3 linked regions of the Ovis aries genome follow. The protein of the gene in region 2 purifies or fractionates together with the protein of the main gene of each other region. This does not show direct contact. Links are inferred from orthologs where the notes say so. Each region holds a gene or a part of one and is shown on either strand. Other genes may lie near its edges. The genes, in order: ZZZ3, MBIP and KAT2B.

Evidence for each region.
Region 1: the proteins of MBIP (region 2) and ZZZ3 purify together in Homo sapiens (affinity purification with mass spectrometry; 4 studies listed by BioGRID and IntAct, counting the BioPlex papers as one, with this or other methods). This does not show direct contact. The link is inferred for Ovis aries from reciprocal best matches to the Homo sapiens genes MBIP and ZZZ3.
Region 3: the proteins of MBIP (region 2) and KAT2B purify together in Homo sapiens (affinity purification with mass spectrometry; 4 studies listed by BioGRID and IntAct, counting the BioPlex papers as one, with this or other methods). This does not show direct contact. The link is inferred for Ovis aries from reciprocal best matches to the Homo sapiens genes MBIP and KAT2B.

The regions. Positions count from the first base shown.
Region 1 is NC_056054.1:54,078,657-54,083,035, reverse strand, and holds the start of ZZZ3 (ZZ-type zinc finger-containing protein 3), read left to right. Parts: upstream 1-1,443; 5' UTR 1,444-1,494; coding exon 1,495-2,999; intron 3,000-4,379.
Region 2 is NC_056071.1:44,223,107-44,225,911, reverse strand, and holds the end of MBIP (MAP3K12-binding inhibitory protein 1), read left to right. Parts: intron 1-1,189; exon of another isoform or gene 1,190-1,767; coding exon 1,768-1,875; 3' UTR 1,876-2,302; downstream 2,303-2,805. UniProt on the Homo sapiens protein: Inhibits the MAP3K12 activity to induce the activation of the JNK/SAPK pathway. Component of the ATAC complex, a complex with histone acetyltransferase activity on histones H3 and H4.
Region 3 is NC_056054.1:278,352,725-278,356,377, reverse strand, and holds part of KAT2B (histone acetyltransferase KAT2B), read right to left. Parts: intron 3,363-3,653; coding exon 3,237-3,362; intron 957-3,236; coding exon 820-956; intron 1-819. UniProt on the Homo sapiens protein: Functions as a histone acetyltransferase (HAT) to promote transcriptional activation. Has significant histone acetyltransferase activity with core histones (H3 and H4), and also with nucleosome core particles.

The sequences.
Region 1 (4,379 bases), on a different chromosome or scaffold from region 2:
TGTATTTGATTTGTGGGGAGAGGGGGTAGAATGGCATTTGGAGAGTTAAAGGAGAGTGAGCCTGTGGGAAGGCCGGCAAAAGGGAGGAGGGAAGAGGGTCCTGGGCAGCTATGTCCTACACCCATTACTGGCTGCTTTGTCTGTCCATCCTGCACTCCATTGGAAGTTAGGCAGTGAAGTGACAAAGTATGTTTTGAAGGCTAAACAGGTGCAGAAAAATGGAGACTTGGATTCTTAATAGCTTCTTTATTCTGCTTGTTGGGAGAACCTTGGAAAATAATCACTAAATCACTCAGTTTATCAAGATGGATAAAACAGGGCAGTATTCTATTTTCTGCTCATTTGTATTATATCAATAGAAACAGCAGAACATCCACACGAACCTGCTCATATCCTCAACATGCGTTAATACTGTGACATACACATATACTCAGGAGTTCAGAGAAGGAAAAAATGGGTTATATGTGTCTTCTTGATTTCTTAAATGTAGTGCATGTTTGGCGGGTGTGCTTCTTTCCCTTTTTCTTCTATCCTCTTTAGAATACTTCCTTTCACTTGCTAATTTGTAGTTCTACTTCTAGAGACTAGGGTGTCTTGACTTTGCTCTGTATTGCTCTTAGCAAGTATTCAGTACAACCTAGGGTTATGATTTCTATCCATCTGCTTAGTTACAGAAAATTCTACTGCAATCCAAATTTTTTAGGTACCATGTAGTTTGTTATCAAAAGATTTGACCTGAAACTCATTTTCGTAAGAGTGAATTAGAAAGAGCAGAGCCTGTCTTTTTACCTCCCAGAAATGTTTTGAGAAAACATGAGAAGTGATTGGGTTAGTTTATGTGATAGCTGTTGTATAAATTTGAGGTTATTATTTTAATAACCAAGGTGAAGTCCTGTCTTTGAGAGGGATCTTTCTGGGCCTTTTGCCCCTGAATATCTGAGAAACAGATACACAGTGAGAAGGGTGAAGAGCTCACTAGCTGCGTGGTTTTGGACATATTACTTAAACTGTATATGCTTCAGTCTCTTCATACATGAAGTATGAGTGATAATAAGTACTTTCTCTTTCTTTCTTTCTTTGGCTCCACCAGGTCTTAGTTGCATGTGGGATCTAGTTCCCTGACCAGGGATCGAACCTGGGCCCCCTGCTTTGGGAGTGCAGAGTCTTAGCCCCTGAATCACCAGGGAAGTCCCAATAAGTACTTATTCTAATTGCTGTTAGACTTAAGTGAGTTAACGTATTTAAAGCATAGAGATCCCTAAAACATAAGTGCCTTATAATTGTTAGCTATTATTAACACTTTTGGAAATGTTAATAAAATAAATTATATCACATTATTTATTAATATTGGCTATACCTGGATTAAAAAGTTATAGTTTTATACTTTTGTTTTAGGATATTAACTATTACCTTTTTCTCATTATTTTGTTTACGTTTTTGAAGGTTTCCCAATGAGTGGATCATGATGACCGTATTGTAGGGACTTGCCATAGTATGGCTGCTTCCCGATCTACTCGTGTTACAAGATCAACAGTGGGGTTAAACGGCTTGGATGAATCTTTTTGTGGTAGAACTTTAAGGAATCGTAGCATTGCTCATCCTGAAGAAATCTCTTCTCATTCTCAAGTACGATCAAGATCACCAAAGAAGAGACCAGAGCCTGTGCAAATTCAGAAAGGAAATAATAATGGAAGAACTACTGATATAAAACAGCAGAATGCTCGAGAGTCATGGGTAAGCCCTAGGAAAAGAGGACTTCCTTCTTCAGAAAAAGATAACATAGAAAGGCAGGCTGTAGAAAATTGTGAGAGAAGGCAAACAGAACCTGTTTCACCAGTTTTAAAAAGAATTAAGCGTTGCCTTAGATCTGAAGCACCAAACAGTTCAGAAGAAGATTCACCTATAAAATCAGACAAGGAGTCAGTAGAACAGAGGCGTACAGTAGTGGACAATGATGCAGATTTTCAAGGGACTAAACGAGCTTGTCGATGTCTTATACTGGATGATTGTGAGAAAAGGGAAATTAAAAAGGTGAATGTAAGTGAGGAAGGGCCACTTGATTCTACAGTAGTTGAAGAAATCACAGGCTATTTGGCTGTCAATGGTGTTGATGACAGTGATTCAGCTGTTATAAACTGTGATGACTGTCAGCCTGATGGGAACACTAAACAAAATAGCACTGGTTCCTATGTGTTGCAGGAGAAATCAGTAGCTGAAAATGGGGATTCGGATACCCACGCTTCAATGTTCCTTGATAGTAGGAAGGAAGACGGTTATATAAACCATAACGTGCCTTGCACAGATTCAGAAGTGCAGGTCAAGTTGGAGGACCACAAAGTAGTAACTGCCTGCCTGCCGGTGGAACATGTTAATCAGCTGACTACTGAGCCAGCTACAGGCCCCTTTTCTGAAATTCATTCATCTTTAAGGGATTCTGAGGAGGAAGTAGATGTGGTGGGAGATAGCAGTGCCTCAAAGGAGCAGTGTAATGAGAGCACCAATAATGCCCTGGACACAAGTCTTGAGAGTATGCCAGTCTCCGGAGAACCAGAACCATCTTCTGTTCTAGACTGTGTTTCGACTCAAATGATGTCTTTATCAGAACCTCAAGAACATCGGTATACTCTGAGAACTTCACCACGGAGGGCAGCCCCTACCAGAGGTAGTCCCACTAAAAACAATTCTCCTTGCAGAGAAAATGGACAATTTGAGGAGAATAATCTCAATCCCAGTGAAACAAATGCAACTGTTAGTGATAATATAAGTGAGTCTCTCACAAATCCTGGTGAAGTTTCTCACAGTGAAAAAGGCGTATGTTGTGACTCTAAAAATTATGGGAGTGAAGGACTAAGTAAGCCATCCTCAGAGGCAAGACTCAATATTGGACATTTGCCATCTGCCAAAGAGAGTGCCAATCCGCACATTACAGAAGAGGAAGATGATGATCCTGATGTTTATTACTTTGAATCAGATCATGTGGCACTGAAACACAACAAAGAGTATGTGTAAATATGGTAACCATGAATTCTGCTTTGTTTATTATTCCCTAAGTTTTTAGTCTCTATTCATAAATGTCTGTAGCATTTTTATTATAGCTAAAATTAATGCTTTTAACTGAAATTTTGGGTTTCACACAATGATATTCTCAACTCTTAAAAAATCTTCAAAAAAAAAAGTAAAATCCAGTTTTATTAGTAGTCTTCTCAATGGCGATGTAATTTTATAGTTTTGAGATTTCACACATCTCAGTTAGACATGTGGAAACATGGTTGATAGTGTTTTACTTATTCATAAGTTTTTTATCATTTGAGTTAATTTATAAAATGGAAACCTCTTTAGTTTTCCCAGTATACTTTGATTTATAGTTATAGAGCATTATGAATTGTATATGCCTTCCATAGAATGTAGAATAATTAATGAGTACATAGACATCATCCAAATAAGGGAAATCTGGCAGGCTGCAAATCTACATTTATCTTAGTTACTTATAATTTCCAGTTAAAACTTTTGATTTAAAAAATGTGCTTTATGCATCATCATTGACTTTTGTGATGTAGAGAAGTATTACTGTCAGTACTGTGACAGCTAACTGTATGTTGTAATTGTCTTATTAGCAAGAGTCAGTCTACTCTATAGTTTACATAAAGCATTTGAGAAAGGGTTTTCCTAATTCTAAATTATAGGGAGACTATCTTAAAATACTATTTGTTCTCAACTTTGTCATAAAGGTACTTTTTAAAATGAAGAATTCACTGTCCAGATTAATCACGGTTTTGCTTAGATTTTCTATACTGTATTCTGGGCAGTAACACAAAAGAATTGGAGCTCACTTTGTCTAAATCAGGAAAGGAACTGTTAACAAAAGTGTTTATCATAAATATGATCAGCAGCAGTAAAAGACAGACATATATATGAGTTAATCAATTTTACTTCTACAGAATAGGCTTTTGAATTATTATCACAACCAGATATCTAGACTGTGTAAAGTACTTATTTAAAGGAACCTTTTTAATATTTTTGTTCTGACAGTTGTCAGAGTCGGCTATATATTGGATGAAAGTTATCAAATCCTGCTTGTAGAATATAATAATCTTTTACCATGCCTTATAAATAGTTTAGATTTGTATTTGATAACATGGTAGTCTTTTAGCATAGATCTCATTTCTGAAAACTTCCTTCTGTTTTCTTTATAAATAGCATTTTAATATTGTGTTCAATAGATCATTTTGTCTGAGCATTTTACTTATTTTGTGGAACTATTAGCATTTTCATATATTTGAAATGTTTGAAGTCCATTGTGAGGTGAAAAAACAATTCATTAAGTGAAGTTTTTTTCAATTTGAGATGAGTTGAGTTCTTACCATTAGTACACATGTATC
Region 2 (2,805 bases):
CAGATGTTAACTGTAGAAGAAAGTATCAATTACAAAATGCTGAAAAATAATAAATGTTCAATTTAAATTTCACCCGCTTTCCTTCTGCAGATACCGCTAATTAGCATCTAAGTCAAAAAAGGTGTCTGGCAAAGTTAACTTTAGTCCACCCCTGTTCACAGTACTACTGTATTAATTGAATCTTTAAAATTTTATGTTTATCCAGTATTATCATTTCAACATTTAATAGATTATTTTTTACAGGTTATACTCCACTTAGTTATTATAAAATATTGGTTATATTCCATGTGCTGTGCAGTATGTCAATGTAGCTTATTTCGTACATAGAAGCCTGTATCTGTTAGGCTCCTACTCCTATCTTGCACCTTCCCTCTCCCCACTGGTAGTTTGTTCTTTTTCCACATATAAGTGTTATCATACAGCAGTTGTCTTTTTCTGTCTGACTTGCTTCACTTAGCATATTACCCTCCGGGTCCATCTGTATGGTTGCAAATGGCAAAATTTCATTCCTTTATTGTGGCTTATTTTTGTATTTGTCCCAGATCTAGTGCAAAGGTATGGAGGAGGCCAGAGCATGGTGAGTGTAGGAACTGAGGTGGCTGCTCTGCTGTCCAGGATTTGGACTTTCTCTGTGGCTCTTCTGTTAGTGCCCAAAGCTCAACTCTAAGCTGCAGTGTGGAGTGGACATGCTGGGAGACAAACCACTGTGTTCCTGAGTGCTCTGACAGTGGCCACCTCCTTCCCACCCCAGTCATACTCTTGGCACCCTTTTCTGTTTCTGCATAGCTGAACAGTCTTTTCCCAGTGTTTGTTTGGCCCAGATCTAGCAGGCTGTGGTATGGAGTGAAGGAGGCTGGCGGTGTTCACCTCTTTAGATTGAGAGATCTAGCAAGGCAGCATCTGCCAGTGCGAGGCTCTCTGCACCATGATTATTGGGAATCCAGCACAAGTGCTCCTCGCTGTAGAGTCTAGGCTTCACCAGCCCTTCTGTCTGTCGCAGTGGATTTCCCAGCAGGTGTGGGGGCTTGTCGCCCCTGTGCAGGACCCCAGGACTGGAATTCCCAGATTATGGCTTAGCCTGCTTGCTCCCTCCCCAGTGCCAGCGTTCCTCCCTTGGAAACCTTCTCTTCCTTACATATCCATCCCAGGGGCACAAGTTCTGACCTGATGTTTGGTTTTTCTGTATTACCTGGTTTCGTAGAGATCTTTCTTGCAGCTTTGGTTGTATAATTCTGCCATTTCCAGTTAATTTTCTGTGATAGTTGTTCCACATGTATATTTTGATTGTTTGCGGAGGTGAGCTCCACATCCTTTGCAATCTTGATCCCCTTCTATTTTTAATTGTAAAACTTTGAAATTTGAGTGTCCACTTTTTTTTTTTTTTAGATTAACTGCAATCAACTACCTTGGCTATCAAAAGAGAATTCCCAGTTACTTTAACCAATTAAACTAAAACTTTTCCTTTTTACTATTGACTATGAGAATAGGCAGTTGAAAAAATGTTTTTATGACCCTTTCAAAGTAGAAAAGGTCCAAGATAGCTTAGTCATTAGAAAATTAAGAAATTACGAAAAGTAAGAAATACTTAAGCCTTGTTGTTTTATGCCTTTAAATTTATAGCATAGTCAACATATATGGTTCAATTTAAAAATTATTCTCATGAGAGTTATTTACCATGCTTTTGGATATTTTATGTATTTATATAGTACATTTAGCAGGTTACCTTCATTAAAAGTCTTACTCGGCAATTTGTGTTATTGTTTACAGCAGAACTATTCACTGGCTGAACTTGATGAGAAAATTAGCGCCCTCAAACAAGCTCTGCTCAGAAAATCAAGAGAAACAGAATCCATGGGGACACGTCACCTTCCATGAAAAACTCCTCTCCTTCTCATTGTCATTTTATTTTTTTAGATATGTGTGTAACTTACATATCTATTTAATTAATTGCAGTGTTTTTATTAATAGTAGACTTACCTCTGAAATCAAGGTTCATTTTCACGTGAGTCCATTTTGTTGCAAGCAGTCTTCAAATATTCCAGTATACTTTAAGATAGTTAATGCGTTGAAAGTAGCATTGTTGGAATTTATTCCCTTCTGTTTTAAAGGAGGTATTTTGAAAATTGAAAACCTTAATTAGAAAGTACATCTTTGTGTGTATGTGTGTTTATCACAGAAAGGAAGATTTATTTTGAATAGTGATGTTTAAGACGACTTTGTATTTTTAACATTGATGTTAACCAGTTTTAGTTTAAAACAGTACTTTGTACATAATAGGCATTCAGTAAAAGTTTGAAATGAATTTTAAGTGCATATATTCTTTTCCAAGTGTCAATTTAATCTAAATAAATAGATCATACCTTTTAGGGCTTCCCAGGTGGTGCTGCTGCTGCTAAGTCACTTCAGTCGTGTCTGACTCTGTGCGACCCCATAGACGGCAGCCCACCAGGCTCCCCCGTCCCTGGGATTCTCCAGGCAAGAACACTGGAGTGGGTTGCCGTTTCTTTCTCCAATGCACGAAAGTGAAAAGTCAAAGTGAAGTTGCTCAGTCGTGTCCGACTCTCAGCGACCTCATGGACTGCAGCCTACCAGGCTCCTCTGTCCATGGGATTTTCCAGGCAAGAGTACTGGAGTGGGGTGCCATTGCCTTCTCCCAGGTGGTGCAGTGGTAAAGAATCCGCCTGTCAATGCAGGAGGCTCAAGAGAGGTGGGTTCCATCGCTGGGTCGGGAAGATCCCCTGGAGAAGGAAATGGCAACCCACTCCACTATTCTTGCCCAGAAAATTCCATGGGCAGAAGAGTCTG
Region 3 (3,653 bases), on a different chromosome or scaffold from region 2:
ACAGAATTAGGGCAGATGGGCAATCTGGATATGGGCTGTACATTAGGCCAAGAGTAACATCACAGACTCGATGGACATGAGTCTGAGTGAACTCGGGGAGTTGGTGATGGACAGGGAGGCCTGGCGTGCTGCGATTCATGGGGTCGCAAAGAGTCAGACACGACTGAGCGACTGAACTGAACTGAACTGAATATGACTCTAAGCAAACTTTTTGAGAAAGGGCCAGGTGACAAATATCTTAGGCTTTGTGGACGTACTTCGATAAAACTCTATTTATAAAACCAGAAGTGGACAGGATTTGGTGCCCAGGCTGTGGACTGCCTATCCACACATTAGCTAATACTGTAATCCAGCTGAAGTTTCTGGTAGTGATAAGTACACTGTGGGAATGCAAATGAGCAGTCTCAGTCTTCAGAGACATGTGCAAAAAACAGTAAGGGGTGAAACGTTACAACATCTGTATCTACCTCTGAAATGGCTCCACACGGTCACAGCAAAGGGAGACAGAGGGATAGTGAGCGTGGCATGCAAGCCGTTTGTGAGTCTAAATAAAGAGCCTCTGGGTCTTTACCACGGAATGTTTGCAACATTCATGAGGGTTTAAATTTTTCAAGATAAAAAGTTGAAGCAGGAGGAATGCCTTCAATGGCGGAGATTATGTTTCCCCACAACACGGCCGTCATCAGCAGAATTAACCTCTCATCCGCCTGCCCGCCTCTCAGCCCTGAGCATCCAGCAACTCCGCCCCACCCCCGACAGCGCGAGCGGCTGCGGAGCCCCGGGGCCCACCCGCGGGCGGCTCGCGCGCCCCCTGCTGACCTCCGGCGCCAGCGTCGCCGCGGGGTCTGTGATGGCGGACATGGCCTCGCGGATCAGCTCCGGTGGGATGTCGCCCAGCACCCGGGGCTTCTTGGTCTCCTCCAAAACATGGGAGTCGCTCATTTTCCTCTTTTCTCCTTGATGACCAAAACAAAAGGGCAAACGATGGGTTATTTCAAACACAAAGCACGTGCCGACTAATCCAACCGATTTTCTAATATCACTGAAAGGTGTGGACATCAACCCCCCCTGTACCAGGGAGAAGCGGCGCGGCAGAAGGCGGGAAAGAGGAGGTAACTCTTTTCGCAGGAACTGCCCACCATTCTTTTTTTTCCCACTTTCTTTCTTTATTGGCTGGGCAGCATGTGGGACTTCCTTGAGCAGGGAGTGAATCTCTGCCCCCTGCACTGGGACACAGAGTCTTAGCTGCTGGCCCACAGTCCCCCAAGTGCCCACCATTCTGAAGAGCAACTGCTCTCTACACTAAGGTTCCAACTTGACATGTGAGCTATTAAAGCGCAGCCTCTTCATGTGCACACTGAAGGCTGAGTCTAATTACCACTGGCTGTTAATCTCCATGTTGGAGACTAATTGTCCCTTTGTGGCCAGAAGAATATGGTCCTTATGATAACAAAGGCCAAAACTGCCTGAAACGCGAGTTATGACCTAAAACTTGACCAACTGTTTGTACACTAAGCATCTTCTGACAGTGTTGTTTGTTTGATCTATGAATTAATCAGAGATGTTTCTTCAAGTGTTCAACTTCTGGTGGGTCGTTTCTCCTTGTAGTTCTGGAAAGTCTTTCATACATGTGCATGGACGTGTATGTGTATGTTGTGCAGTGTATATGTGTTGTATGTACAGTGTATGTTGTATATGTGTGTGTGTCTACATATACTGGAAATACACCCATGAACTGTTTCACTTTGCTGGTGAATTTAATTTTTGTCATTACAAACTGACCCTCATGATCTCTCCTAATCCTTTTTTGCCTTAAAATGATGCCTCACAAAGTGAGCAGGGCCCTGGCCTTGGAAGCAGGCACATTCATTCCCAGGATGTCACAATGTATCACAAGCTGGGAAAGGCCCGGCGAAAGCAGGGAGAAGGCTCTCCCACTCTACTCCTTAGATTACCTGGCTGCTTTCTGTCCTACTGGCATGATGTCTGGTTTTTTGTTTTCTTCCCGTTCTGTCATAATTTATTTATTTTTACAATTAAATTTTTAAATGCTCAAATCTAATTTATTCCTCAGGTGTGAATTCCAGTAAGCAGGCTCCATACAGCATTCGCTCCATCTTGAGCTAAACAGCAGCAGGGCAACGTCAAGCATCTCGTCCATACAAGTTGCTTTTCCAAATGAGGCTTCTTACTAAAACAACTTTTGTTGAGTTCGTGTTTTTATAACTTTTTAGTTGTTATTATTGGAGGTGAGTGAGAATATTTTCCTTCATTTGACCAACGCTTCAAATCCCACAATTCCACCAGAATAATGGTGTGAACTATTTATTTTGGAGCTGAGACTTATACCCAATATGCTCCAAACTTGATAGCTTGCTGAGTGCTGCAATAAGAAAGCACCCTGGGCTACATCCGAGTTCAACGGCAGAGCTTCTAGAATGATCAGCAGCGTCCCCCTTGGAAGTGGCCCCAGTGCTGCCCGCTTAGTCCTTCACAGAAAACCCTGTTCTCTCCCCATTTCATGACACCTCTCAGTGTCAAACTTTGCTTGTGCCAAGATGTGTCTCATGTCACGGCTGTGGACACAAATGCATCCTCTGGAACATTCTATAACTGCGAAACACCTCTAGCACTAAGAGATTTTTTTGCCCATGTGGCAGATTACATTCACGGCCAAATTCTTTCCCCTCCTGCCTCCAGCTTCTGCCATATGATTCTGTGGCTCTTCCTACAAAAGGCGTCAAGGCCATCTCCCCACCCCTTGACTCTGAGTCTGACCACGTGATTCGCTTCCGATGACAAAATAAGGCAGGCGTCACGGAGCACCAGCTACAAGCTTAAGCTGCAGGAAACTGCATTTCTGCCTGCTTTCTGGTGCCTCTGCCATCATCATAAGGACGCATTCTGCCCCAAGGAAAGGAAAAGACACCCGGTGGTCCTCAAAGGAGGACGAGAACTATGCAAGCACAGCCTGTCGGAGTCGAGCCTTATCAGCCACCTCCTAGGCAGCACACAGAATGAGTGAGCTGTGACGATAAAGGATCACAGTTTGAGACTCTGCATTTCAAGTTGGCTTGTTACACAGCAATAACTAGCCAATGCAGCCCAGAGGGAGTTCCAGCCATTAAGATCCTTGACACGCACAGCACGCAGTTGACTTAAGGCTCCCTTTGGCACTCCTCAGATAACGGAGCTTCTCGGGAATCACAGCCCTCGCTGGTGCCCTCCGAGCTTACCTGGGTTTGCCTCAAGCCCGGACGCGCCTCGACAGGATGGGCTGGTGCTCCCTCCGTTCTGCTGCTCAAGGGAAGCGGAACTCGAATTGTAGGAAACTGTCCCGGCCACAGGAGGTGGACTGATAACTGCCCCCAGGAGAAGGAAGAGAAGGCATTAAATGCCGTCTTTCTTGGGTAGTAATGAACCAAGTGTACGCGAGAGCATTCCATTCCTGCCCAGCACCCGAAGACGTCATCTCTAAGACAGAAGCCATGTGGCCAGTGTGAGCTTGATGATAAAGACAAGGGTAGTTACAACCCACTGGATAAAATTAAGACATCTGAGTCCAAAGTGATAAAATAAGAAATGAACAAATAAGTAATGGAGAGAAGGTAAAACTCTCCTTACAGGAGAATGGGAAGAAATAAGGGAGCAAT